6 linked regions of the Sus scrofa genome follow. The main gene of each other region encodes a partner of the protein of the gene in region 2 in a complex. Links are inferred from orthologs where the notes say so. Each region holds a gene or a part of one and is shown on either strand. Other genes may lie near its edges. The genes, in order: EID3, SMC5, NSMCE4A, NSMCE1, NSMCE2 and NSMCE3.

The links.
Region 1: SMC5 (region 2) and EID3 share a complex: the UniProt entries of both Homo sapiens proteins name them as parts of the SMC5-SMC6 complex. The link is inferred for Sus scrofa from reciprocal best matches to the Homo sapiens genes SMC5 and EID3.
Region 3: SMC5 (region 2) and NSMCE4A share a complex: the UniProt entries of both Homo sapiens proteins name them as parts of the SMC5-SMC6 complex. The link is inferred for Sus scrofa from reciprocal best matches to the Homo sapiens genes SMC5 and NSMCE4A.
Region 4: SMC5 (region 2) and NSMCE1 share a complex: the UniProt entries of both Homo sapiens proteins name them as parts of the SMC5-SMC6 complex. The link is inferred for Sus scrofa from reciprocal best matches to the Homo sapiens genes SMC5 and NSMCE1.
Region 5: SMC5 (region 2) and NSMCE2 share a complex: the UniProt entries of both Homo sapiens proteins name them as parts of the SMC5-SMC6 complex. The link is inferred for Sus scrofa from reciprocal best matches to the Homo sapiens genes SMC5 and NSMCE2.
Region 6: SMC5 (region 2) and NSMCE3 share a complex: the UniProt entries of both Homo sapiens proteins name them as parts of the SMC5-SMC6 complex. The link is inferred for Sus scrofa from reciprocal best matches to the Homo sapiens genes SMC5 and NSMCE3.

The regions. Positions count from the first base shown.
Region 1 is NC_010447.5:80,220,509-80,225,416, forward strand, and holds the end of EID3 (EP300-interacting inhibitor of differentiation 3), read right to left. Parts: 5' UTR 4,016-4,908; coding exon 2,918-4,015; 3' UTR 826-2,917; downstream 1-825. UniProt on the Homo sapiens protein: Tissue-specific component of the SMC5-SMC6 complex, a complex involved in repair of DNA double-strand breaks by homologous recombination.
Region 2 is NC_010443.5:223,629,372-223,634,045, forward strand, and holds part of SMC5 (structural maintenance of chromosomes protein 5), read left to right. Parts: intron 1-374; coding exon 375-548; intron 549-655; coding exon 656-825; intron 826-2,946; coding exon 2,947-3,070; intron 3,071-3,427; coding exon 3,428-3,550; intron 3,551-4,674. UniProt on the Homo sapiens protein: Core component of the SMC5-SMC6 complex, a complex involved in repair of DNA double-strand breaks by homologous recombination.
Region 3 is NC_010456.5:131,598,685-131,603,358, forward strand, and holds part of NSMCE4A (non-structural maintenance of chromosomes element 4 homolog A), read right to left. Parts: intron 4,088-4,674; exon of another isoform or gene 2,854-4,087; coding exon 2,702-2,853; intron 61-2,701; coding exon 1-60. UniProt on the Homo sapiens protein: Component of the SMC5-SMC6 complex, a complex involved in DNA double-strand breaks by homologous recombination. The complex may promote sister chromatid homologous recombination by recruiting the SMC1-SMC3 cohesin complex to double-strand breaks.
Region 4 is NC_010445.4:19,643,815-19,648,488, forward strand, and holds part of NSMCE1 (non-structural maintenance of chromosomes element 1 homolog), read left to right. Parts: intron 1-1,100; coding exon 1,101-1,247; intron 1,248-4,339; coding exon 4,340-4,456; intron 4,457-4,674. UniProt on the Homo sapiens protein: RING-type zinc finger-containing E3 ubiquitin ligase that assembles with melanoma antigen protein (MAGE) to catalyze the direct transfer of ubiquitin from E2 ubiquitin-conjugating enzyme to a specific substrate.
Region 5 is NC_010446.5:14,517,832-14,522,505, forward strand, and holds part of NSMCE2 (E3 SUMO-protein ligase NSE2), read right to left. Parts: intron 1,175-4,674; coding exon 1,021-1,174; intron 1-1,020. UniProt on the Homo sapiens protein: E3 SUMO-protein ligase component of the SMC5-SMC6 complex, a complex involved in DNA double-strand break repair by homologous recombination. Is not be required for the stability of the complex.
Region 6 is NC_010443.5:144,470,685-144,475,942, forward strand, and holds the start of NSMCE3 (non-structural maintenance of chromosomes element 3 homolog), read right to left. Parts: upstream 3,343-5,258; 5' UTR 3,237-3,342; coding exon 2,400-3,236; 3' UTR 1-2,399. UniProt on the Homo sapiens protein: Component of the SMC5-SMC6 complex, a complex involved in repair of DNA double-strand breaks by homologous recombination. The complex may promote sister chromatid homologous recombination by recruiting the SMC1-SMC3 cohesin complex to double-strand breaks.

The sequences.
Region 1 (4,908 bases), on a different chromosome or scaffold from region 2:
AAAATCCCAGTTTAAAAAATTTCCATGGAGTTCCCGTCGTGGCTCAGTGGTTAACAAACCCAACTAGGAACCATGAGGTTGCAGGTTTGATCCCTGGCCTTGCTCGGTGGGTTAAGGATCCCGCGTTGCCGTGAGCTGTGGTGTAGGTTGCAGATGCAGCTCAGATCCCGAGTTGCTGTGGCTGTGGTGTAGGCCGGTGGCTACAGCTCTGACTTGACCCCTAGCCTGGGAAGCTCCATATGCCAAGGGAGCGGCTCAAGAAATCGCAAAAAGACAAAAAAAAAAAAAATTTTTTTCCGTATTATTCTCCCAAAGTTCAGCTGACTTTATTGAACCTATGAAATTTAAATCACTCTAACTGTACTACTGGGAAACCAGCAGACTTGAGTTTGGTTCTTACCTAATCTCTAAAAATGAATTATCTATTGGTCAATTTTCCTTTTTTCTTCAAGGTAAGTAGTGGCTTAATTTCCAAGTGATGAGGCAATCCAGGTGTCATGACAACCAGTTAAAAACAGAAACAAGTGTTTAACTTAAATTCTATTTCTGGGGAGTTCCCGTCGTGGCGCAGTGGTTAACGAATCCAACTAGGAACCATGAGGTTGCGGGTTCGGTCCCTGCCCTTGCTCAGTGGGTTAACGATCCGGCGTTGCCATGAGCTGTGGTGTAGGTTGCAGACGCGGCTCGGATCCTGCGTTGCTGTGGCTCTGGTGTAGGCCAGTGGCTACAGCTCCAATTCGACCCCTAGCCTGGGAACCTCCATATGCCGCGGGAGCGGCCCAAGAAATAGCAAAAAAAAAAAAAAAAAAAAAAAAAAAAAAAATTCTATTTCTGCTGTAACTTTAGAGGAGACCCAAAGATGCCCTCCTTCACAAGCCTCCCCGTTCTCTGCTACGCAATGTGCTTTCAATCATCAAGTCGCAAACACTCCTGGTCAAGACACCTGGTGTTTAAAGAGTCATCCGGTGGTGAGCAGACCTGAGGCAAGATCTTTCTGCTCCCGTCGAGATCTTTCCCCCAAACAGCAAAGCTCTGGAAAACCTAAGGGGGCGGCTGGAAGACACACTAAAGGAAGAATCAGCCAGACGAAATGAGGCCTCCACAGCTGCTAGATCAAAGGGTGGTAGGTACTGGGAAGGGAGAGGACCCCTTCACATGAAAAAAGGGAAAGGAACGACTAGTTTAGAAAATAATAGGCCATGTCTCAGGAGAAATTCCTATGTTTGCTAAAACCCTCCACTAAGACTAAAGAACCTCTCAATCTCAATGTCATTCATTTAGCCTTTTGATTTCCCTTCCCTTACTACATGAGACGTGGCAGTAAAGTTTATCATTACTGCTAAACAAAGCAGATACTTACCCACTTACTAAATACGGTTTAATGGCAAGACCCACTACGACCCAAGATTAAGTTTCTAGAGATCAAGAAAAGCTTACAAGCATGCTCACAGCACCTTCAAAAATTGCTTTTTTTTTTTTTTTTTGGTCTTTTTTTTTGTCTTTTAGGGCTGCACCCATGGCATATGGAGGTTCTCAGGCTAGGGTCCAATCGAAACTGTAGCTACCAGCCTATGCCAGCCACAGCCACATCAGATCTGAGCCACTTCTGCGACCTACACCACAGCTCACGGCAACACCGGATCCTTAACTCACTGAGCGAGGTCAGGAATCGAACCCATGGATTCTAGTCGGCTTCGCTAACTGATGAGCCACGACGGGAACTCAAAAATTGTTTTCTTAAAGACCCAAATTTCTAACAGTAGCCTCCAAATAACAATGCAATTTATATTCTTAAAATAATTATAAGCAACAACATAAAGCCTTTTGACTTTATAAGAAGTGAAGAATATTTGGATAAATTAGTCATATATTTAAATTTAAACAAGGACAATTTCCAGGCATTTAAAGCCCTATTGAGAAATACAAAGTTGAAATGGTAACAAACATTTCAAGGCTGCAACATAATGAAACATCACTGATTCTGAGATACTAGCAGAATCACTGTGTACTAACATAAATTACAAGGGAAAAATGAGAAGCCAGAGAAGAATTTAAGTAGATAGAGATTGTAAATGGATGTTAAAATAGTTTGCGTGTGAAATAATCTGACAGAGATCTTCAACCTCTGAGGATATTAACAGATGAATGAAGTAAATCAATTTTTGCCCAATATAACATTCAAATGGAACAGTGTTCAGAAAAAGCTTATAAATCTTTCTGATACCGTAACATCTTACAATTCCATGTATTTGGCCTCCATATTTCCCTGCTAGAATACTTTTCCTATCTTTGACCAATTTCTACTCATCTCTCAGCACTTAGTTAATGCCTCACCTACTATAGTAGAGATATTCTACTTCCGCTGAGTCCAATCACAGGAGAAATTCTTTAGAATCTGGATATCCCTGCTAATTTGCTGAGTCCTCTTTGCAATGAGGCACGGCATCTGAATTTTTTTACAGTATTTATGCACTGCCCTACAGATAGTCTTTCCAGACCATTTTTTTTCACCCACTCTTTCCCTCAACCTGGTTAAGAGCCTATATGGAATTCCCTTGATTCCCTGTAGCAGAGGAAGCAATGCAGTATCACAGAGCCTCATAACTAAGTTTTTGCAATTGTCAAACACCTTTTAATTTAAAAAATTCAGAACTTCTCTTAATAAGGTCTTAAGGAACAGTCAAAAAAAAAAAAAAAAGTTTCCACAAACATGCTAGTGAATTTCTTTAGTTAGCAGAAAATCATGACAATTCTATAAATACCAAGAAAAACACATTGCACAGTACACAACTTCTGATGTTATTGATAATACTTTTTCACTTTACAAGAGATACAATGTGTGTTTTGTTTGGATTTTATTAGCCGTTTTGATATGCTTTAGAAAAGCCACAAAATACATTCTAAGAGCAAGTTATCTTCAGTATGAGTTTGTGATCATAGCCTCTGAAATTTCAAAAGTTGCCACAATATTTTTCCAGTCCTGTAAACTCAAAGATATAACCCCTTGTTTCCTGCCATGGGAACTGGGATCATTTCCCTCACCCACTTGGTTCATATTAATTGGCTCTAATATTGGCAGCCTGTCTTGGTCAAGCCTTATTCTTGCAAAACCATCCCTTATAATGAAAGAAACATAAAATATATTCTCCACAGTACGAGAAAAAGAATTTGGATCAATCACAAACTCAAAATAGGACACGGGAGTATCAGGATACTTTCTAAAGTATGTTTGCAACAATCCCAAGATTCTTTCTACTTCTTTTTCTGTCGCTTCTTGATTACTACTCAGGTCCAGCTTCCTCAGCTTTGTAGGCATGTCCCCATTTTCTTCCATCTTGTGAACTTTTTTCCGGTTTTCAAGTCGGGGCTTTCGAGAAGAAGGCTCTGATTTGAATGAACCAAAAATAAAGTGGAATGTTTCAGCTTGCAATATCCACGATGTTGCTTCCTTTTGCACTGTCTCCCAGAAGGAAAAAGCTATATTATCATCACAGTCATTCAATACATCACGTCCATCATCTTCCATCCAGTTTAGACCCACAAATATAAACAGAAAGTCACAAAATGCTACTTGATTAAAAAAGCTCATATCAGAGTTTAGCTGCTTTGCTTTTTCTTTACCCAAATCAGAAGCCAAAACAAGAAACTGCGCATCAAGCGCGGCTTCTCTTGTTCGACTCACTGCATCAAACAGGACATTGGCTTCCTCGAGAGCCTCGGTTAAGGAGTCGCTCGCCGTGTTCACTATGTCATCACGGTTCTGCTGGACGTTATAGATGAGCTGCCGGTACTGCTTGCGGATACTCCGGCATTTCTCCTCGTCCACAAGCTCCAGGAGGCTTGGGTCAATGTCGGCCTCCCCAAGGCTGAGGTCGTCAGAGAAGGCATCAGCCCCTGCCTCCCCCTCCTCCTCCTGCGCCTGCCTGCCAGAGTACGCACTGCGGGTGACGGTCACAACCGGCTCCTCTCCTTTCTCTCTGTCCCCCCACCTCAGGGAATCTCTTTCATCAGACATTTCGGGAACTGATGGCTCAGATGACGCCCCGGCAACGTTTAGGACAACGGCGGAAAATCGAAGGGGTCAGACAGAGCGGAGGAGGACGTCCGCCCATGCGCGCTAGGGACGGCCCAGAGGCCCCGCCCCCAGGTCGCCCCGCCTCCCAACAGCCCCCGCCCCGCGGAGCCCAGACCCCTGGGTTCTCAAACAAGCCCGGGTCCACGCCACGGAGAACGCGTGCTCGTGGGTCTCAATTGTCTCAATTCCCGCAGTGGAGTAATACCGGTTCAAGCGCTGGATAGTTACTCCGGCGTTTACCGACAGTGTCATCAAGCTTTCATTGGACAAAATTAAGGGAGAACTAAATGTCCTGAGCTTTAAAAACATTTGCTGTCACTGCAGCAGCGTTTTTTCTCACTGTAATTAAAAAGTGGGTTGTTTTTGTTTTGAGAACTAAATCTGGCTAAATAATAAACTGCTCAAAAAGCCAAGGATCTTGACCTGCAGTATCAACAGATAGGCTGAACTCTCAGGGTTCATTTGAAAGACGGCTGCTCTCGGAATTTAGTCTTCATTATACAAATGTAAATTGAGTTAATTATCTTCGTGGGCCCTCAAAAACCAAATCCTCTCCAATCTATCCCAATGGGGGGGCGGGGTCATTGGGTAAACCGGAGTCTGGGCTACCTCACGGGCGGGGAGGTGCGCTGCCCTACCTGCCCCCACCCCCAGCATTACACAAGCGAACTTTGGTTCCTCACCACTCAAGGGTAGAAGAATAAAGTGGGTAGGGTCTCCGCCGAAGAGCTATTTGGAAGCTTACCAAAAGTAAAGGTCACAGACTCTGAATGGACAGTAAATCAGAACCCTAAAAGGTGAGAAACCTGTGAAGATTTGAAACACAGTCTGTT
Region 2 (4,674 bases):
AGGAGAGAGTAAATGACTTGAGATATCACAGTTCACTCAACTGGGCTACTGACTCTTGGCATCTCTTCTATAGATAAAACAGAAATCCAAAAGTATACTTACTGGGGAGAGATTGTATACTCAAGTAGAAGTATAGCTGACTTTGCTCAGTGTCTTGGTTTTTCTCTCAATTCTCTCTTCCTTAGTGTTGCTTTCCACAATATAACCTGAAATATATCACCTGAAATGTTGGATACATTTTTCAAAAAACATAAATGAAAATATATGTTTTGATCTTTTAAAATTCACTTTGATCATATTTTTAGTGCTTTATTTAGTCTTTTAAAAATATAATCATTCTGAAATGTGCACTGAATGTTTATTTTACATTATAGGTAATACAAGAAACCCGATTAAAACAAATTTATACAGCAGAAGAAAAGTATGTGGTGAAAGCTTCTTTTTATTCAAACAAAGTTATTTCTAGTAACACATCCCTAAAAGTAGCCCAATTTCTCACAGTCACTGTGGATCTAGAGCAAAGACGACACTTAGAGGAACAGCTAAAGGTTGGTCATTTTAATTTAGTGTGATTATTAAACTAGTAGAAGTCCAATTGATATTTTTTCAACTAGACAGTTTTTTCAATATACTAACAATTTTGCATATTCCATAGGAAATTAATAGAAAATTGCAAGCAGTAGAATCAGGGATGATTACCTTACGTGAGACAAACAAACATCTGGAACACAAAGATAATGAACTTAGACAAAAGAAGAAGGAGCTTCTTGAAAGGAAAACCAAGAAAAGACAACTGGAACAAAAAATCAATTCCAAACTGGGAAGGTATCTTTTCAGCCTGTTCTGGGGTAAGGGCTGTCAGGGGCTGGTACAAAAGCACTGTGAGGATATTATTAGTTATACCCTGGAATGATGACACAATTCCCACAGGGAAGTTCTGTAATCACTTCTCTCTCAGATTTTAATTCTACCACCAAAACACAGGACAAGGTAGGTGAATCTTAAATGTTGTTTTCCTGTTCCCTCATTAGCTGTTCTCATCCCTGGAACCCCTTTCTATTATAAATTATTGAGGACCTTAAGGAAGTTTTGTTTATATGGATTGCATCCATTGATATTTACCACATTAGAAATTAATTCATTAAAAATAATTCATTATATGTTAACATAAAATATTTATGAAAAACAACTGTTTGTCCAAACAAAATACATTTAGCAGAAGAGTAGCATTTTTTTTTTTTTACCTTTTTGTAAATCTCTTTAGGTGAAATCAGTTTTTTCATATGTGCTTCTGCAGTCATTCGGTTCTAAGATGTTTGCGTTGAAAAAAAAATCTGACCTCACATAGATAAGCAGCTGGAAAAGGGAGGAGTGCTTTAATAGACTTTTCAGTGGTGTGTGTGTGTGTGTGTGTGTGTGTGTGTGTGGTGTGTGTGTGCATTTTTTTTTTTTTTTTTTTTTCCTTTTTAGGGCAGCACCTGTGGCATATGGAAGTTCCCAGGCTAGGAATCAAATCAGAGCTACAACTGCCAGCCTACACCACAGCCACAGCAACGCGGGATCCGAACCGTGTCTGTGATTTGCACCACAGCTCCTTAACCTGCTGAGTGAGGCCAGAAATTGAACCCACAACCTCATGGTTCCTAGTTGGATTTGTTTCTACTGTGCCACAACGAGAACTCCAAGTGTTACGTATACTCTTTAATGTTACATCACAGCTTGCCAAGTTAAAGTTTAATTGCAAATGGAATCTGAAATCATCAGTGAAGTTGTATACTCTTACATTACTTTAAGTGCTTCTTTTACCCATAAATGACTTTATTATATTATGCAGTGATCATTTGGAAAATATTGGCTCACCAAGTCATGTAGATCTTCAGATAACATTTTATCGTGTAATATTTTTAAGAATCACATTATCTCCAGTCTAATCAGAAGAGCCTTTAGAATTGGGAAGCTGTGAAGCACACAGTGGTGGATAAAAAGTTTCCAAAATTCTGATTTTTACTTGACAGCTTGAATCCTATCATTGGCAACAAGTTTTGGGGTTTTTTTTTTTTGGTCTTTTTCTAGGGCTGCATCTGTGGCATATGGAGGTTCCCAGGCTAGGGGTCTAATCGGAGCTGAAGTTGCCGGCCTACACCACAGCCACAGCAACGCCAGATCCAAGCCACGTCTGCAACCTATACCACAGCTCACGGCAACACCGGATCTGTAACCCACTGAGCAAGGCCAGGGATTGAACCTGCAACCTCATGGTTCCTAGTTTGATTCGTTAACCACTGAGCCACAATGGGAACTCTTGGCAACAAATATTATCAGTAATTATTTTTTAATCACTTAAGATAGGCTTACGCTTCATTCACTTTGGGTGGAAAAGGAAATTTGCTTAATACCAAAGTCAGAATAACCATAGTTTATCCATCATTCTTCAAAGAAAAAGTAGTATGCCATGAATAAAGTGTCTAGTTTAGCTCCTTAACAGAAGGGACTGTATTTGTAAACAGTGTTTATCAGTTATAGGCTACACGCTAATTATACTGCGTCATTGGCCTTTTTTAAAATTTTCACCAAAGCCCTATAGGAAAGGTACTATTATTATATCCAATTTATAGATGGAAAAACCGAAGCTCAGAAGAGTATCTTGTTCAGTTAGACAGCTCATTAGTGACAAAGAGGAAATTCAAATCATCTTTCTGACTCCAGATCCTATACCATTAGCACTAGCATTATGTAGCTAGATTATGCTGGGCACATAACGTATCTCAAAAAATACTTTTTTTCAATCCTGACTGGTTGTATAAAATGATTGTTTAATCTAAATGCTAGCAGTTAACACATCTGAGTAGCATTGCTAAACAGCCCATAAAATAGCAGGGAACCTAAGGCTTTGGCCTCCATTCTTGTGTTTTTTCTGATTACTGTATCATTATGCACTTCATACAGTTTAAAGCTGATGGAACAGGATACTTGCAACCTTGAAGAGGAGGAGAGAAAAGCTAATACAAAAATCAAAGAAATAAATGTTCAAAAAGCAAAACTTGTTACAGAATTAACAAACCTATTAAAGGTAAGGCATTTTCTTGATATGAGTCATATTTTTTTGAGTGCAAGTAGATAGTAAAATCTTAGCAAGAGATTTTTATCAATATCAATAATTTCAGTTTTCTGTTTGACGTTTCTTGGTATACATTAGTTAAATTGGTCAAAAGCACTCATTAAGCTAACTATTTTATTCTAGATGATACAAATATACAGGAAAACTTAAAAATTCTCTTAGAAGAAAATTATAAGAAGAATTGAGAGAGGTATCAGTCATATTAGAAAAATGTTATTTTTTCCATATTTTATAATTTTGTTTTTTAAAAGAAACTTATTTTTCTTAGTTTTAAAACAAATTAAACTCTTAGGGGTTTTTTATTCCTAGATTTGTACTTCTTTGCATATACAAAAAGTAGATTTAATTCTTCAAAATACTACAGTGATCTCTAAGAAGAACAAATTGGAGTCAGATTATATGGCTGCTTCATCACAACTACGTCTCACAGAGGTAAAATTTTTGGTTTTATTTTTTATTTGGGGATTTAGACCACTTTGAAAACATACATACTTATATCATCCCTTTCAATATGCAGTTTGTTATGTGCTCTTTAATTTATGAATTTAATGCATCCTGCTGACAAGGAAGCAATATTTGGAATACTTGTATGTATGCTGCATGTTATGTTATTTGGTGGGGGGAGGGGTAGTAATTATCAAAAAAAAAAAAAGAAATCAGAGTATCTGATTTAGTCCCTTGGAAACGAGTGTCTCATGCTGCTTTCTTAATCCATGTAAGTTATCGTCATTACTATTATCAAACAGCAACTAGTAGGTTTTTTTGCAATTTGTATCTTATAAAGTAAATTGCAGATGAGTTGTAATCAACACTAAGAGTGGCCTTAGTGTGTAATCTTGGTGATTTAGTCTTCTGTTAGTATCTTTGAAATGAGATATTGAAACTGGGAGGGGGCAGGGTGGTGGTATACTAGGTTAAGATAAATTCCAAAGAACTAGTAACAAAAGAGTAGTGACTGTGGCAGTTTTGAGTCTTGCACATTTCTTTCCCAAAAATAGAAGAGCAACTAGGATAACATAACAACCACAAACTAAGCTTTAAAGTGTCCCTACTGGTGTACTGCAGTATATTCTCATACTGACCACTCAGGGTTAGCATCAGGCTGTGTAAGTTAAGGGCTTAGCCCCCAATAAAACTGCCCTTACTTCAGATGCCAGCTCCAAGTTCAGGGATCTCCAGGCTACCTGCACTTCTGACCAACTGGCTACAAATTCAGAGGTTCTCCTGTGACTCCCTCAGATTCAGTAATTCACTAGAATGACTCACAGAATTCAAGAAGAGGCTGTACTTAACCATTGTAGTCTTACTGTAAAGGATACAAATCACTACTGGTCAAATGAAGAGGCGTATGGGGTGAGGGTACCTAACAGTTTCTGTACCCTTTTTTGGTGAAATCAGTGTGATCACCAACAAAGAAGCTCTAGGGAGCTTCACGGTAATGGTTTTTATAGGGGTTGCATTGCCTAGGCATGACTGACTGGATCACTGGCCATGTGGCTGAACTCAGTCTCTAGCTCTGGAGGTCTCCTCCTGGAAGTCAAGAGATTAGATGCGTA
Region 3 (4,674 bases), on a different chromosome or scaffold from region 2:
TTCTTTGGGCGATCGATTCGTGGCTTTGGCACAGGGCCCTCTCCTTGGATTGAACCCAACCTAATGAAAAATACGCTTTCATGTCTTTTTCTGTTTGTTTGGAAAATGAGCTCATTTCACTAGCGGAAAGCAGTTCCCATGGCAGAGTCAAATTCGGACCAGGCACTGGTGGTATACAAGTGACATCAGACCAAGACTCTTGTCAGGCCTGTGACACCCTTTCTGCTCCCTTAGTGTTTCTCGAACTCCTCGGGGCCTGACTCCACCACAGATGCCTTGTCTGCGCCTTCATATTTCACTCTGAACGGTCGGCCAGAGAAGCTGGTCTTGCCGGCTGGCCTGTTGTCTGTTTCGCAACCTCAGAAATCAGGGCAAGGATGAACACGTGGGGAAGGGGAACCAGCTGCTCCACTGGGGTTAAAAGCGTTTGGTCTGGGGGTGTCATGGCAGAGACCCACAGGCTAGGACTCTAGAACACACCTGTCTTAGGAGGTCACAGGTCAAGCAGAGGCCTTTCCCTCTTGGACTCCCTCCACCCCCCAAAAAATGCAGATTTAAGCTACAGTGATAGATGTATCACGTAGAAACCAAGGCCGGGAGCATCGTGGTCCTTACACATGAGATCAAGGTATGCAGTATAGATGGACAGATAAGTACACATCTATCTCAGTACTCATCAGCACACAGATCCGCTTCTTTGTAACACAGTAGCTCCTACGGTGGGTACTGGAGTGTGACTCAAGGGCTATTCCCCCCAGACATGGCAGCGATCTGGTTAGGAAATCTGATCCTACACTGATACCTCTGTCTAGAGAAGTTACTGGAGGCTTCCAGGCTGGGGACTGTGGGATGAGGAAACCTTACCAGATGGGAAAAATGGGGGAAAGGACCCTGTAGGCCACAGGAGCAGCAGGTGCAAGGCTGCAGAGTAGCAAGAAAATCATGGTGGCTGCAACGTGGGCTAGATGAGGAGATAAAGTTTAAGTCATGTAACAAAAGAGCCTAGGGCTTTTGACAGAGCCTAGAACTCAACAGCAAAAAAAAAAGATTTGGACTTTTCTTTTTTCATCTTTTTAGGGCTGCACTGGAGGCATATGGAGGTTCCCAGGCTAGGGGTTGAATCAAAGCTGTAGCTGCTGGCCTATGCTACAGCCACAGCAACTCGGGATCTGAGCTGAGTCTGCAACCTACACCACAGCTGACAGCAACACCAGATCCTTATCCCACTGAGTGAGGCCAGGGATCGAACCTGCGTCCTCATGGATGCTGGTCAGGTTCGTTAACCACTGAGCCACGATGGGAACTCTTGGACTTTTCTTATAATAAAAAAGTTTGATCTTTTTGCTATAATATTCAGTGGTTCTGGGCACTGGAGTTAAAGGAAGTCTGGTTAAAAAGAGATGCCTGGGAGTTCCCACTGTGGCCCAACCTGATCAGAGGCATCTTGGAAGTGCTGGGACACAGGTTTGATCCCTGGCCTGGCACAGCGGGTTAAGGATCTGGCGCTGCAGCGGCTGCAGCGTAGGTTGCTACTTCGGCTTGGATCTAATCCCTGGTTGGGGAATTCCAGGTGCTGTGGGGCAGGCAAAAAAGAAAAAAAACAGATACCTGGCCCCACACCACAGCCCCACTGCATCTGCATCTCCAAAGCCTTCTGAGACACCGCTAATCTAGAAGCGCAGTCAGGATAGACAGATGCCCTGGAGCTGTCCACTTAAGGGAGAAAGCACTTGGTGGTTTACTCTAGAGCAGTTCTCTCCATCTGAAGGCTGCCTTACAAAAGGACCCATAAGAGCTGTCTCAGTTTCTCCAGAGGACTGAGCTAGGGAATGAAGACAGAAGCCAATTCCCATTGAGTATAAAAGGAAAGCTTTTCAAAAATGAGAGTTGTATCCGAAAAACGAACTGGGCAGTTTATGTGCCAATGACTCAAGCAGTCTTCAAATTTAGGTCAGAGATGATCCAACAGGGCATTACAACAAACAGCACTTTACATATACTGGTAGAATCTTAAGATATCTTTTGTGGGAGGTCTCATCCTCCTACATAATAAGGCTTTTAAAGATGATAAAACAAAGCCAGACATTATCCCACAGACCTCACACTAGAAAGCAGAGGAGCCAGCAGAGGGCCCTGGTAAGGAGGGGCCGGCCCACAGCCTTAATTTAAGCAGGATGAGGTCCCATCCACACCAAGATTTTATGGGCTTTTAAATATTTCCCAGGCTAGGGGTCGAAATCCAGCTGTAGCTCCTGGCCTACACCACAGCCACAGCAAGCTCGGGCACTGAACTCTGCAACCTGTACCACAGCTCACGGCAACGCCAGATCCTTCACCCACTGGGAGCGGCTAGGGATCAAACCTGAGTCCTCATGGAGACTAGTTGGGTTTGTTTCCACTGAGCCAAGCAGGGAACTCTAAATCAAAACTGAGGAGTTCTCTTGTGGCACAGCAGGTGTTGTGATCTGGCGCTGTCATCGCAGCTGCTCTGGTTGCTGCTACGGCGAGGGTTCAAACCCTGGCCCAGGAACTTCCATGTGCCAAAGTTGCGGCCAAGAAATAAAAAAAATAAACACAAAGTTTAGACTCCAAACAATGGCATCACGACCACCTACAACACCAAATACTTTCTGTCCCTACAATAGAAAACAATTTAAGGTTTACACATAGCTGGGGTATCAGATTTTTAGAATAATCTTACAGAAAGTGGAATGTATGGGTTTTATTAAAGGTGTTTTCTGCTGTTTTGCCTGATATTTTCCAGGAGTCATAGACTATGAATTCAAAGTCAGAACTGTCTTCATCACGGACGAGTTCTTCAGCTTCTAGCGGATTTACTCCCATATGTGTCAGCTACAGAAACGAAGGGAGACAAAAACCCGTTAAGCCACAAGCCGTCATTTACCACATCCAAGCATCTCTATCGCTAAACAAGAGGCCAGAGGCTAAGTCCGTTTTCCGTATCCTAACATGTTGGCTAAATTTCTTCTGATAAATTCCGATTTTTCAAAGCTACCTTCCTTTTTTTTTTTTTTGCCTTTTTAGGGCTGCATCTGTGGCATATGGAGGTTCCCAGGCTAGGGGTCCAATCGGAGCTACAGCTGCCGGCCTACGCCACAGCCACAGCAACGCCAGATCCAAACTGCGCCTGTGACTTACACCACGGCTCACGGCAACGCCGGATCCTTAACCCGCTGAGCAAGGCCAGGGATCGAACCTGCAACCTCATGGTTCCTAGTCGGATTTGTTTCCGCTGTGCCACGATGGGAACTCCAAAAGCTGCCTTCTTTTTGGCAGAAAATATGTCTCACTTCATTACCACTTCTAGTACGTACTTAGAGCTTCTGGTGAGAGAGTGAGATGGTCCAGATCAGTGGTTCTCAACTAGGGTGATTTGACCCCCGGGGGTCTTTGGACATTTTGGTTACCACAGCCAAGTCTGGAGACATCTTTATTAGTCTAATATTAGTCTAATAATTCTCTTATCTCAGGCTCTCTTACAGCAAGTGTATGGTATTAAATTTGCTCTTATGAAACACTTATTACATTATAAAATGCCTAGTTATCACAACTGGAGGGGGGGCATGGAGGGAGGCAGTGTGACTGCCATCGAGTGGGTAGAAGCCAGCGTGCTGCTCAACATCCTACAATGTACAGGACAGCCCCCCCCGCGACCAAGACACACTCAGGCCAAGATGTCCTGAGGGCTGCCGAGGCTGAAAAACCCTGTCTAGCCCCTGTGAGGGGTGCAACATAAGAACTAAGCTCCCGCGGGGAGTTTCTGATCACAAGCAGTCCATTTTGAAAGTATTAGTAAAGCTGAAACTATGCAATCACACCCAGATCAGCAGTTCCAAGACAGAACAGGGACATCTGGCTGGCGTCCCACGTGCATTTTCAGCCACCCTCCTGGAGACTGCTATTCAGCTTGTGCCCCAGCATTTCCAGAGAGCTGTGGCCTCGCGTCTGGGAGGGAATTGTTCACCTTAAAACTGCCTTCCTGGGAAGAGCTGGCGGAAGTCTAATAATTCTCTTATCTCAGGCTCTCTTACAGCAAGTGTATGCTATTAAATTTGCTTTTTTGAAAGAATGCTCTTATTACATTATAAAATGCCTAGAAGTTATCAAGGTAACATGGTAATATCGTATATAAACAGTCATCCAGAAGCCCTCAGAGAGCTTAATGCTTTACAGGCAATTTAAATGTTTGAAGAGAGGCTGCTAGAACCTGGACAGAGAAGAAAGGTCACCCTCCCAAGCCCCCGGTCCTCCTGACATCGTGTCCCACTACCACACACTTGGAAGATGACGTTTCAATTTTTGTCTGGTCAAATCTACCCATCCTTTCTTTATGGTCTTTTTTCTTTCTTTCTCCCTTTCTTTTTGTCTTTTTAGGGCTGCATTTATGGTCTTATATTTGGTGTTATACTTGAAAAGCTCTTCCCCACCCAGAGACTAGACAGCTCTTAATTTCAGGTCTTAAATGGACTGCTTTAAGACTTCTGGGATTTATTTTTGAGATGTCATTTAAAGTACCAAGCTCACCCTGAGAAACAAAAGTAATTTTTAAAAATATCACCCAATATATGGTCACCTTTACAGAGCTGTACTTTCATGTGCATTTTTCAAAATGCATTCTACTTCAAAATTAAAAAGTTTAGAAAAATTTTAAGG
Region 4 (4,674 bases), on a different chromosome or scaffold from region 2:
CACCCTGGAGGGAGCTTTCGAGAAAGGCCGGATCCCAGTCCCCACCCAGACTGTTGAATCCGAACCTGCATTCTGGGAAGGTCCCTCCAGGGTGATGCACTTGCATGGCGACATTGAGAGCCGCTGCCCTGTCACTGTTCACTGAGCCACCTTGTCGCTTACCTGGCTGAGCACCTGGTTAAAGACGGGGTTCTGAGTCCGGATGTGCGATGTAGTAACTGGGAGGTAAAACTCCAGGTCTGTGGGCTTCAAGGCTTCGAGGGCTGAGTCATAGGGTCATTCCTTTCTAAGCTTCCCCTGGGGACGACGAGCAGCCAGCGTTGAGAACCAGGCTCCAAGATGCCAGACAGGTGTGTGGGCAGAAAGCCTGTCTTCCCAGCAGCTCTGCACTGCTATGGGCAGAAGCCATAGGGCAGCCCGCCTGCCAGCCTCCCCCGGCCTGGCACCATGGGCACCATGCCTCTGAGGCCGCCAGGGGTGCTCTCCTGCTGCGCCCCCCCCCACCGGCTCTGCTTTCCTGTCACTTAGGCCAGCCTCGTGGTCTGCTCACGTTTCACTCTCAGCTTCTCCATCTTCAGGGAGGTGAAATGACCCTTCTTGATTTAAGGGGAGGCATTAAGATCATTCATTTGGGGAGTTCCCATTGTGGCTCGGTGGAAATGAATCTGACTAGTATCCACGAGGACACGGGTTCGATCCCTGGCCTGGCACAGTGGGTTAAGGATCTGGCGTTGCCGTGAGCTGTGGTGTAGGTCGCAGATGCAGCTTGGATCCCGAATTGCTGTGGTTGTGGCTGGGCCGGAAGCTACAGCTCCGACTTGACCCCTAGCCTGGGACTCTCCATATGCTGTGGGTGCAGCCCTAAAATAAAGACAAAATAAATAAGACTCTTCACTTGGGATGGCGTTACAAGAGTGACTGTGGAGTCAAAACTGAATGTGTTATGGTTTTTGATGCATATTATTGTTTTCCTGAAGGCTCCTAGATTTCTGCCTGAGATGTGAGTAATTTCACTGCACCCCTGTCGGGGTTGGTATCATTGCTTCAAAGTTATTTTTGCCGATTTAATAGATGAACGTGGTACCCGCTGTTTCTTCTAGCTGGAACTCATTATCGACTCCGAAAGCGGCTTCGCGTCTTCCACAAATATCTTGAACCTGGTCGATCAGCTCAAAGGCAAGAAGATGAGGAAGAAGGAGGCCGAGCAAGTGCTGCAGAAGTTTGTACAAAACAAATGGCTCATTGAGGTACCTGGTCCCACAGATTCTCCAGCTTGGCTCACTTTTTGGAGGGAATCATCATCTTCCCTCCCCAACCACCCTGGATCCCACGCGTGTCTGTGGAGCCAGGCCCTTTCAGGCCCCTCATCTGCTTCGATGCCCACAGTGACCCTGCGAGGAGGCCTGGAACCTCCTGGTCACTCCTGTGACCTTGTCCAGGGTGCCCCAGCTGGAAGTGGCCAGGCCTGTGACCCGGGTCCACGGGCTGGAGGCAGTGTGCACGCTGGGTAGGGGTACAGCGTGAGCACCAGCCCTGGGCCCAAATCCCGGTGCGGGTGTCCCCCGTGTCCTCATGTCTACTGAGGGGAGTGGTGGCATCCACTCCAGGTGCGTCAGGTGCCTGCTGCTGGCCCCTCAGGAATCGCTGTGACGGCACGGTTCTCAATGGCAGCATCACACTCTTCTGGACCCGTGCTCTTGGGTTCTTGCACTTAGATGGCGGCCCTTGAGGCGAGGAGCTGGAGGGAGCCGGGAAAGGTTCAAGCTTCTAGACGCCCTGCGTCTAGTTCTGTCAGCTGGAGCAGTCAGATGTCTCCGCTCTTTTTCCACAAACGCACCCCCGTTTCCAAGAAACCCAAGCCGGACGTGCTTAGCGCCGCCCTGGGTCCCACAGCCCTGCCCCTCCGCTGCCCATCTGGGCGGGACGTGCTCAGCTGGGCCCTCGACTTCCTCACTCAGCGGTCAGGCCCGAGGCTGGAGGCTGCTGCTGTGGTAACGCCATGCTTCACTTCCCTTCTGGGGAGAGGTCCCCTCTGGTGTGGTGACAGCAGTGCTCTGAGTGGTCGATCTCTTGGTGGAGGGGACCCCGGCAGCCTGACCAGAAATAGTCAGTTCCTGAGGGACTTTGCTGATGGGAGGAAAGGTCTGGCGAGGCCACAGCGGCCAGGTCAGGGGTGGCAGGTGGGGGGTGTGCCAGCATCTCTGGGCACGTCTGCACCTCAGGTCCTCCCGGCCGCCCTGTGACGACACGGAGCCCCTTAGCTCTGTTCCGTGGCCGAACCACGGCAGCCCCATGATCTGGGTGAAGTCCCACAGCCGGCAAGTGGCAGGGCCATGCTCAGCCCCCAGCTCGGGTGACTGCAGGTCCCTGTCAATTGCTTTGTCACAGTTTTCCTTCCTCTCTGGGGTGGATTTGGCAACACGGAACGTTCTGGGGCAGCTCGGGTCACAACCCCACGCTCTGTCCTCGGGCAAGCTCCCTGAGGGCCAGGCCTGCGCCCTCCTCGTGGCTGCACCTCAGTGCTCCTGAGGCCCTGGTAACTGCTTCCTGAACGGGGCGGGAGGATGGAATCCCAGAGGAACGCAATGTATCTAAAACATACCGAGGCAGTGACACCGGAAATCCTTGTAGATTGGGAAGAAGCGGTGTTTGGATGGGGGATCACGTTGCTGAGAACACGTGTCATCGTGTCATCCTCCCCCCGCCCACCGAGCTCACCCCCTGTGCCCTGCTTGGGGCCTGCAGGCGGTCGTGCATATCCAGCACGATGCTGTCACGTCACCGCGCAGGGCTGGAGGCTGTCCTTTGCTGCCCAGAGAGGGGACCAGGGAAGGAAAGAATGTGCTTCTGGGGGCTGCTGGGCTTGCCCTCGGGCCCAGCCTCCTGTCATCTCTGCTTCTTCCTCAGTGACATGGAGATGCTGGGGCCGCCTTCTCCAGGGGCGGCCCTGACCTTGGGGGAGACGGTGGCCTGGAGGCTCTGTGAGCTGAGCCCTGGCCCCCACAGCCCCACAGGCCTCAGGGGAGCCCCCTGGCTGGCTGAGCCCTCGGGCCTTTCGCGGACGAAGGAACAGGCCCGGTGCAGCAGAGGATGCGGTGGGCAGGCCCCCAGGTGCTCTGGCTTTGCTGCTGCCCGTGGCAGTGGCTTCTGGTCTCTGGGCCGTTTCCTGTCTGGAGGATGAGGACAGTGACGGCTTCGGGTGTTTCCTTCGTGAGGGCGGAGTGCTCTCTGAATGGTCAGCCTGGGGGTTGCCGTGAGTCCTGTGGCCCTCTGGAGGAACAGCTGAGGGACTTTGGGGTGGCTGCTGGCCGGTCCCCTGACCTGCCTTCCTGGGGCAGTACCTTGATCAGAGGGACCACGGCCTCTCAGAATGAGACTTTCCCCAGGAGCTGTGCTGTGCAGACTTTATTGGCCACAATGGGAGACTCACCAGTCCCTGGACAGGACTCTGCCCCGGCTCAGCTGAGTGTGGGCTGGGCAGGGTCAGTGGGGGGAGGCCCCAGGACCGGGGAACCCTCAGAAGGTGTGGCCCCTTGGAGCTTGGATGCCATTCATTGACTTCAACGGATAAACTTCCACGGACCCCTGTGACACCTGTCTGCCTCTGGGTGGCTCTCAGCCTACCTCTTCCCTGTGAGGTGGCCATGGGGTCAGCCACTGCAGTCAAGGGTTTCTGTATTTCCTGGCTTTCTCAGGGTTTGGGGGTTACACGGCCTGGGGACTGTTTGGATGTGGGAACCGAGAGGCCCTGCCACCCACGCCACCACGATGCAGCCTGGGGCCTCCCTGGACCCGCCCTAGCGTGGTCCCGAAAGTGGCGTGGCTAGAGGTAATTAGAGACCACCCCTGCGGAGGCTCCAGGCAGGAGTGCTGGGAGGCACCTGCAGTGCTGCTCCTGGGGGCTGGGGGTCGGGGGAGAAGAGGAGGGAGGGGGCACCTGGGTCTGGGCTGGGAGTTCGCCCCCAGGGGTCACTGCCTCCCTTTCCTGGCCTCTGTCCTGCCGTAGGAGGGCTGGGGCAGACCTCGCGTGTGGGTCTGCTGCACAAGGTCCGTGATGCCAGGAGGTGCACGTACGGCGCTGAGATGATGAGGGGTCTGGGGTCCCCCCCTCGGTTTCCTTTCAGGTCTTTCCCAAGTTTCCCTGCTCAAGGCTCTGCCAGGGGCCGGCGTGGATGCCCGCTGGCTGGGTTGGCAAAAGCCTGTGGGGTGAGGGGTGTACAGGCCTCTGCCCCTTTCTGGGCTTTTCTCGGGCTGTGGGAGCAGAGGCACCGGGCGGGAAAAGGGCATGCCTGGTGTGCCAGTTTCCTAAAAGATGCCGTGTCCTACCGTGTCCCTGCAGAAGGAAGGGGAGTTCACCCTGCACGGCCGCGCCATCCTGGAGATGGAGCAGTACATCCGGGAGGTGTACCCCGACGCCGTGAAGGTCTGCAACATCTGCCACGGCCTCCTCATCCAGGTACCGCGGGCACCTTCTAGAAGTCTCTTTCTGGGCCCAGGCCTCCGGCACTGCTGCCACCTCCTCCGACGTGGGCAGCGGTGGGCATCTCCTGCCTGGTTCCTCTCTCCTCGTCTCAGGGCTTTTGAAGTTCTCCTCCAGAAGGGCGCTCTGAGGTCTTTCGTGCGGCCCGTGTTATCCTGGCCGTTGGGGGGTGAACATCTTTTTGTCTCAGCCGT
Region 5 (4,674 bases), on a different chromosome or scaffold from region 2:
AAATTGTGAAACTTGAGTTATTTGTAAAATAGACAAAAGTAAAGCAGCTTCCTCAGTCATTTTTTGAAATCTCAGCATCAATTTAAAGAAAATGCTTATATTTAAAAGAAAGCCTATTTCAAAATATGAATCCCTATCCTGAGTACATATAAGAGCATGAAGTAAATTCACATATCATGCACTCCTGTTCCCCACGCATGCAGATGAAGGTGATATTAAAGTGCAAAAAAAGTTATTTGCTTCTTTATTCCCTAAGGAAGAAAAGAACCTCAAAACTAAAAGAACAATCGATGCTAGTGTAAAGTAAAAACAATAAAATCAGATAAAACTGTTATGTGGATTATATGGAAAAAGAGGGGGGGGGAGAGGGACATATGTACTTCACTGTATAGGAAATACATATTTCTATACAAACTTCTTTTGGATACCCCTAATTTCTTCCACTCTCATTTTTCAATCAAAATTATGTTCATTAAAAATCTCAGTTTAATAAATTTTCTCAGGAAGACAACAAATCTAAGAAGCATGTGGAATTTATATGACTACCAAGAGAGAGAAGGGATCAAGAGAATTTTGGTCTCCTGTTTGACCAAAAAAAAAAAAAAACAATTGCTCCTACTCGTCTAAAGCAGCAAAACTAGAATCAAGGCATGGTCATTGTAAAGCTTGGCACAGCAGTTTAAAATTTGAAAAAATACCATTGTTATTTTAATAAAAGTGCTTTCAGTTTTACATTCCCAAGTCCCCTCCCCAGCAGTGAGACAACAGTGTGACTTTTCTCTACCTGCTGAGGAATTTTCTTAGCACTTTGTGGAAACTGTTGGCTTTCAGAAAGGGACAGGCTGATGTGAACCAAAAGTTAAGGCAGAATACAGAATTGCAGCAACAATAAAAAAGCAATTTAGAAAGAGGGTCAAGCCAAGCAGATAAGCAAACTCTATAAAAAATCAGTTTTCTGTGAACGTTCATCCAGTTCCCTAATTTCAAAAAGCCAAACCAAAGCAAAGCATGCTGACTTACATTGCTTCTTTAGTTCTTTCAGCTGTTGTTTAAACTGCACAAATTTTTCATTATTTTGAAAGTCTGCCTCGGAATTCTCATTCTGTAAAGCCAAAAACTTCTCCTCCACTAATAATTTTAGATCGGGTATTTTTTCTGGACGTTCTTCTTTTACCTGAGGAAGACAATAACATCACTTTATTTAAATGTTAACGATGACACGGTTCCCTCATTTCATTCAGATAAAAATATAATGAGGTAGAAAAGAGAATCCCCCCCAATCCCATAACAGAAAACCAGAGAGGCTGGGACGCGTTCCAGAAAAGATGGCTAGTAAACAGCGGAGGGAATCATTCATCCCAGGTACCCTTTGCTGTCTTAAACCACCCCTTCAGGGCCCTATTAACCTGTTGTCTCCTGACAACTACCACGGAGTGGGGGGGAATCTCACACTGGGGCAACTGTGCCCTCTACCTTCCCCGGAACCTGAGCACAGTGGCTTCCTCCTCTTCCTTAGGCTTTCAGAGTAAGGCTTCCTCTGGCTTAGGTCTGCTCAGTCCCCTCTCCTACTACGAGAGAGCATTCCATCCTTCATTCTCTTTTTTTCATTCTTTTTGGAGCCACACCTGTAGGATGTGGAAGTTCCTGGGCTAGGGGTCAAATCAGAGCTGTGGCTGCTGGCCTACACCACAGCCACAGCAACAAGGGATCCAAACGGCGTCTGCGACCTATACCACAGCTCACGGCAACACTGGATTCTTAACCCACTGAGCAAGGCCAGGGATCGAACCTGCATCCTCATGGATACTAGTCTGATACCCGCTGAGCCACAAGGGGAACTCCCATCCTTCATTCTCTTAAGCACTCCTCTTTCTCAGGCCCTTGTCCCCAGCAAGTGAGAGGGGTTCCTACTTTACAAAACAAGGTGAGGCTTTAACCTTGAACTCCCACCATTTGCTGCCACAAGGAATAAATGCCCATTATTCTGTTCAAGGCTAAACTCTCAATCTTTATTTTATTTATTTATTTATTTATTTATTTAGTCTTTTTGCTATTTCTTGGGCCGCTCCCACGGCATATGGAGGTTCCCAGGTTAGGGGTCCTATCGGAGCTGTAGCTGCCGGCCTACGCCAGAGCCACAGCAACGCGGGATCTGAGCCGCGTCTGCAACCTACACCACAGTTCACGGCAACGCCGGATCATTAACCCACTGAGCAAGGGCAGGGATGGAACCCGCAACCTCATGGTTCTTAATCGGATTCGTTAACCACTGCGCCACGACGGGAACTCCTCAATCTTTATTTTTTTCCCCCTGCTAATAGTTTGAAACATGCAAAAACATGGAAAAAATTGTATTTTACCATTCACCTACCTCCTAGACACCACAAAAATTCTGCTGTTTTGCTTTTTTTTTTTGCCATTTTTTGGGCCACTGCCACAGCATATGGAGGTTCCCAAGCTAGGGATCTAATCGGAGCTGTAGCCGCCAACCTATACCACAGCAACGCCAGATCCAAGCCACGCCTGCGACCTATACCATAGCTCATGGCAACGCCGGGTCCTTAACCCACTGAACAAGGCCAGGGATCGAACCTGCAACCTCATGATTCCTAGTCGGATTCTTAACCACTGAGCCACGACGGGAACACCTCTGCTGTTTGCTTTATCACACACCTACCCATCCATCTTCAACCTTATTTTTTTTTTTTTCACTGTAACCATTATCTTTAATACACAGATACAATCCCTAAGGGCAGATACACAATAACATAAAATAACAAGTATTTTCCCCCTTTTTCATTCTGTGACACTAATTTCTTTTATTCTATCACACAATTCTTTGGAGCCAGAAATAAGAACAGTACACTGCCTTTGTAACCACTTTTCAATGTGAAGCAGGAGGTGCTTTAGTTTATTTTTCTATACTTTTAAAAATCCTCTTTTAGGAGTTCCCTGGTGGGTCAGCGGAAATAAGGATCCGGTGTTGTCACTGCTGTGGTGTGGGTTCAATCCCTGGCCCAGGAGCTTCCAAATGCTCAATGCAGCCGAAAACAAACAAACAAATAAATAAAATCCTTTTTAAAAAATTAAGATGTAGTTTACGCACAATATTTTTTAAGTTACAGGTGTACAGCACAGTGATTCTCAATTTTTAAAGGTTATACTCATTTCTAGTTATTATAAAATATTGGCTATATTCCCTGTTGTGTTTAGCAATACCGAGTGTTGTCTTCCCCAACACAAGAACCTCAAGAGAACTGCTATATGCACATAAATTCACTGCAGCAAATATCTTCTCGGGAAATGTAATGCTGCAGTTGGCATCATCTGCAGCATCTGTTTGCAGGTCTGCTGCAAAGAGAACTCACTGTACTCTAGCTATCAAAATGAGAGCCTGGAAAATATTAAACTCATTGTCTGTCTAAATCAGTGCAATAAATGGGGATTGACTATTATTTTTAATGGTTTCTGGCTGTGTGTATCTTCAGGATAAATAATCCCAAAGGGGAAAGAAAAAAGTCATTATTTGGAGTTCCCGTCATGGCACAGCAGAAACAAATCTGACCAGTATCCATGAGGATGCAGGTTCAATCCCTTGCCTTGCTCATTGGGTTGGGGATCCGGCATTGCTGTGAGCTGTGATGTTCACTGGTGCCTAGTACTCTCTGTTGTACAGTAGGTGCTCAAATGATGTGGGCGAACTAGCGAATTACACGGATGCTGAATACTACCGTGTAGACATAAGAAGAGGGACCATAGTTCCCTCATTTCATTCAGATAAAAATATAATGAGGTAGAAAAGAGAATCCCCCCAATCCCACAACAGAAAACCAGAGAGGCTGGGACTTATTCCAGAAAAGATGGCTAGTAAACAGCGGAGCGAAGTGAATAAAGTTTTGGAGCAAGGGAAGGAAGAGATGGGAAGCAGCTCCTGGGAAAGAGAGAGCAAAAGAGACGTGTTTATTTGTAGAGAGGTTAATAGTAGCTTGAAGCAAAGTTGACATGATGGAGGAGAATGAACAGGGACCTTGGGATCAAGCAGGTAGGTCTGGGTCCACCCTAAATGGTGGATTTGGGGACGATTCTTCCAGGTCCTCGATTTCTCTCATTTCTTAACTAGCGATCAGGAAGACCCACCGCAGTGCCATGAAGACGTAATCACATTAGGTCTGCATTTAACTCTGGCACATAGTACGTGTTAAAAAGTTTTTATTCTTAAAAAATAAATAAATAAAAAATGAGTTCCTACTGTGGTGCAGTGGGTTAAGGATCTGACTCCAGCAGTCTGGGTGTTTATGGAGGTGCAGATTCGATCCCCAGCCCAGCACAGAGGGTTAAAGTATCTGGCATTGGCCCAGTGACAGCATGGGTCTCAGCTGCAGCTCGGATTCTATCCCTGGTCCAGAAACTTCCACACGCCGTGGGTGTGGCCATGAAAAAAAATTTTTTAAAATTCTTTCCTTTCCACTTTAGCACAGAGCATTCAACATGTTTGTGGACTGAGAAGGAGGAGCAATGGGGCACATAAATCAGAAACAGTGAGAGAAAGCAAGTATCAGATTTCATTTGAGAAAAGCCTTTAAACACATAGGCAAAAATCTAGAGCGGGGAGAAGATCAGCTGCAGAAACACAAAAGTCTTTAGCAGGCATCAGAAATGTCCACAGGGCTGGAC
Region 6 (5,258 bases), about 79 Mb from region 2:
GACATAAGTGAAGATGTAACAGAATTATGTTCAAATCAAAAGAGAATACTAACTTTGTTAATACTCCAGAAAAAAATGAAAACACTTTATAGAAAATACAAGTGACCGAAACTAATTTGAAGAGAAAACCTGAACAGACTGTTAATGATACAAAATCAGTAGCAAAAATCTACCCATCAGAAACACCATTCCAAGAGCCTTTCATACATGGCTTTCCTAGAAACCTTCAAAAACATTTAATCCTTATGTTCGTGGTAAAGTAAATGCTCCCCAACTCACTTATGAGATGAGAACAGTGTTTTCGATTTCCTGAACAACTCAGTGCTAAAGCCATTGGGTGGAGCAGAGCAGGTCATTTTGCTTTGTGTGCTGCAGGAGAGGGACTGAAAGGCAAGGGCCTCAGGGTGTGGTGCTAGAGCCCAAGCTTTAGAAGGAGGGTGGATGCCCAGGGCAGTTCTGGTGGGATGTCAGCTTCCCAGTACGGAGGAAAGGGCATCCCACACAGGAGGGTGTGGCAGCCAGAAGAGACTGGTTATTTACAGGCAATTGATCAAATAATTATTAGAAGGATTAAAGGATATGAATTTCTTACTGTTCGAGAAGTTAGGTACAGATAGAACAGTACAGATAGAACAAGGGAGAAAACCATAATAAACACTACGGTATAGAATGGATATGCTATTATCAATGTAATGTCATAGTTTTCAGTAGATGATAGCTAGATATACAAATAGACAAAAAGACTAACTTTGTCATGTAGAGGGCTAGAAGCAAGGATACTTCTAGAAGGCATGAGGAAACCTGGCAACCTTGTTTCTGAATTCGTTTCCATCCAAAAGGAATCAGAGCTCTTTGGAGAAAATGGCTGAGAGGTCTGTGGCAGGGAAAATTCAAGTTAAGGCTGAATGATCTTTTTGTGCCAGAAAGTATGGAATTGCTCAAAGAATGATGGGGGCAAGTAGAAGACACAAAAGCCAGCTTTAAAATGCTCCCAGTGGCAAACAGGGACAATTTGGGTATCAAAATAAATCGTGACAATAAAAGACTATAATGAATCTATACAGATAAAAGTGAATAAACTGAAATTTTGGTGAGGAATACAATATTTACAAAATCTCTGTCTCCACACAAGTTGCTTGTTTGTTACAAAGGGAAATGGAAAATTTCAAAGTGTAGAGGAATGGCAGAAACCACCTTAACCAAAGTGATCAAAGTTACAAAATAATAGGACAAATTGAAAACTAAATAGATAATGAAAGAAAACCTTCAAAATTTTTTTTTGTTGCTCCATACCAAGAATAAAAAACATATTTAAACAAACTTTTAAGGAACAGAGCAACAACTAAAATCCCCCACACCCAGCATTGTGCCAAGAACTTCACACATATTTCCATATCTAAGTATCACATCACACACAATACAGGCATCATCAACCCACTTTACAGGTGAGGAAAAATCTGTATACATCTTAAGTAACATGCCTAATTCATATAGCTAGTTATGCAGAAGTAGAATCTGAATCCAGATAGTTTGCTTCCCAGGTAGGCATGGTTAATCACTAATGGCTTTATCTTTTCTGTAACCCACTGAAAGAAATACATTTTACATCGTGATATGCACATACACAAATAAAACAATTTCCACAAAACACTATTTACCTTAATGCTATGTAGCAAAAAGTGTTTTTTGTTAAGATGCCTGTTTTCAGTCATGAAATTAATTTCTCGACTTATGGTTAAAAAAATGCACAATGCTGCTTCAAAACACAGTATTTATTGTAACTATAGTAGCCAAAAAAGGAAAAAAATAAATGTAACTAAAAGTCAGCCACACAACCTAGTAGTAATTATCGAGGTAAAGTTATTTGGGAAAAATACAGCATGTACATTACTTAGAATGATTCATAACGCTTACATACATAAAAAATACATTCTAAAAGTAGCTATGCTAAATTTAAAAAGGGATATAGGCAATTACATTTTATAGACTTTTATTGTTTCAATTTATAGACTTTTATTGTTCCTTTCAAAGTGGGGTCGTCAAGAGGCCAGGTAAGAGCCATTTCGTGCTTTTATTTCCTTGACATCAAAGCAACTTACTGACGTGTTCTTTCTTCAATATCTATTTCCAGATCATGGTACAAAGTTTTCCAATTAGCTTTAGAAAGCTAGCGAGATTTTTATACCAAAAAACACAGACAATAAATCAAAACAAATCGTCCGTTAATATTTTTATAGGTGAAAATTTGGAACCAAGGAACTTGCAATATAAGTCGGCAAACACATCCTAAAACTACGCACATTGAAGCTTTAGCAGAAAGATGCACACACACCACACACACACACACACACACACACGCCCCCCACCCCCCCCTGGAGTCCCTCTGAGTCTCTCAGATTTCAAGAAGAAGGGGCTGGGCCACCTGTTGGGGGTCTGGCCCTGGCCTCCTCCTCAGCCAGAGCCTCACAGTACTGAGCCGGCCAGTCCTTGGGGTCCTGATTGTGGACTTTGGCCACGAACTTGAGCACCTTCATCTTGCTGGTCTCCAGGTTGGTGCGTGGGCCCCACTGGAGCTCGTAGTCCACAGGATCAGTGTGGGGGATGCGCCGGTACTCCAGATACCTCTGCCGCACGAAGTCCTCGGTTATAAGCTTCTTGGGGTCCCCGAAGATCAGGTGCTTCTTGGTGGGGTGCACCCCGAGGCGCCGCAGAAAGTCCCAGACCTCCGTCTCCTTGATGCTGTTGCCTTTCATAAAGATGAGCCCCAGCACGATCATCAGCAACCCGGTGGTAGGTGTGCCCTGGTCGCCGCGCACCTCGGCGTCCTCCTCCACCGGCTCCAGCGTGTTGACCAGGATGTAGGTGTTGCTCCGGGGCTCCAGCTCTACCAGCCGGTACCCGAACACGTACTCCAGGCGCTCGGCTGCCAGCCGGAGCAGCTCCGGGAGGACGTCTTTATAGTCTCCGACCACGTGCTTCAGGATGTCGGTGCGCCGGATCGGGATCTTCCTCTGGTCCTTGATCAGCAGGAACTGCACGAGTTCGGCCACCTTCAGCTCCAGCTGCTTCTGCGACCGGGGCCCCGGCGCTGGGGAGGCCTCGGCCCGCCGGCCGCCCTGCGAGGAAGGCCCGCGGGACGTGCTCGGGACCTCCTCTGCGCCGCCGCCTCCTCCCCAGTCCCGCTCCCGTTCTGCCTGGGTGCCGGCGCGGCCGCGACTCTTCGGTTTTTGCGACATATCGCGGCGGCGGGCCCCGGACGGCGCGGACTCACAGTAACCGGCGGCTGCGAGATTGCGGGTAGGCGCGCAGCTGGTCCCGGCGGCCCGGGGCGGGGCCACGGGCGCGAGTTCCTCACGGAGGCTGCGCGCTGCGTCAAGAGGGCTGCGCGCTACGTCACGGAGTTCGCGCCACGTCTTGTGGGTAGGTCGGAGCAGTGGCCTTTTGGCAGTCAGGAAAGTGGGGTCTTTGCTCAGCCTTGGCGGTCCCTATGGCTTCTTTTATTATAATTAAGGATTGTCCTTACCAAGCCAAGCAGATAGAGAACAGGAAACAAAGCCCCTAACAGAGCGACTAGGACTACTGAGAGTAAGTATGACGAGTTCTCAAGTCGGAACTTGTTAGGTGAAGGAAACTCCGAAGGTGAATGTGGGAGAAAAACCGCGGAGAGCGTGAAAGGAAAGTGAAAGCATTTCTTTTCCATTCAAAACTAGATGTAAAAGGAATGAAAAACCATGAGGACTAGTTTGCTTTCACCAATCCCTCCTAACCGTTTCCCAAGAGTTACTTTCTCTAAAGCCTGTTTAAAACAGTCTCTTTAAAAACAAAGGTAACAACAGACTTGCCTTTTCACTATTTCAGTGTCGATATTGTGTACATATAAATACCATCAGCTGGACAACTTCGCGAAGCCGCCCCATAAATCACGTTTAATTGGAGTGTTTTTGCTTGGTCAAGGGAGTTTATCTTTTATAAAGCACATGCTCATGAAAATCGCCTTGGTCCCACAACCAGAATTTTAGCAGAAATGGGTGAGAGAAAGCTACCAACAAAGATATGCGCTCTCAAGAGGTTGCCGTTTAATTTTAGGCATCCTGACCAAGAACTGCAATCATGGACTGCCTTAATAGATCAGCCTTAAGGGCTCAATGTGAAAGTTAGGAGAACCCAAGGGTAGCATCCCTTATAATCTATTAAATGTGCAAAAAAAAATATATATATATATATATATATACATATATATATACACACACATAGTGCAACTTTAATAACCAACATGAATTGTTTCATTAACTCAAACCATTTGCAGTCTGCTGCCTTATTTCCACGGATCTTAGCAAATGCCTTTCTTTAAAAAAATTTTTTTTCTTTCGTTTTTTTGTCTTTTTGTCTTTTTAGGGCCGCACCCATGCATATGGAGGTTCCCAGGCTAGGGGTCTAATCAGAGCTGCAGCTGCCAGCCTACACCACAGCAACGCCAGATCCAAGCCGAGTCTGCCACCTACACCACAGCTCAAGGAAATGCTGGATCCTTAGGCCACTGAGTGAGGGCAGGGATGGAACCCAGACCTCATGGTTCCTAGTCAGATTCATTTCTGCTGCGCCACAATGGGAACTCCAGCCTTCCTTTTCTATTTAGTGACTTGCAAAGAAGAAACTGAGTTTCCCATTTTGTCTTTTTTAAAGCTACCAGAAAGTGGGTAAACTCTTCAAAGAACCAAATCAAATTGAGTTCCTCTTTAATGCAAATATATTCCAAGGAAAGTAATTCAAAACACATTATTTGAATAATAGCATCAAAACACAGCCTTATTAAAATTTCATTAAATGTTAGTAGCATAAAATTTTTGTTGTAATTCAGTATGAAAATGCCATCTGATAATGGCGCAGTATTAAATGTAAAATATTCCATGTTGTAGTGCAAGTATGCTAAAATCTGCTAAACTATGAGTAATAACTTTCTGTTCCACACAAGATCTAACAATATATCCTCAAGCATCAATCTTAATGGCAGAAGCCTGCTAAGAAAAACAAATATATCATCAAGGCATTCATTTTGTTTCACAATGAGAAAATTCATCTGCTTCAACTTTCTTGCAAATTAAAATTTAAACCCAAGTTCAAAGAAACCTCCTACAATTGAGAATTCTGCAAAAGGTCCCTTCAGAAGGATCAGTTGTACCCCGACTTAGAAAAGGAAAAAAAATAGCAACCAAGAGATAACAGAAAAATAGGAAATAAGACAAAAACCACTGTCAACA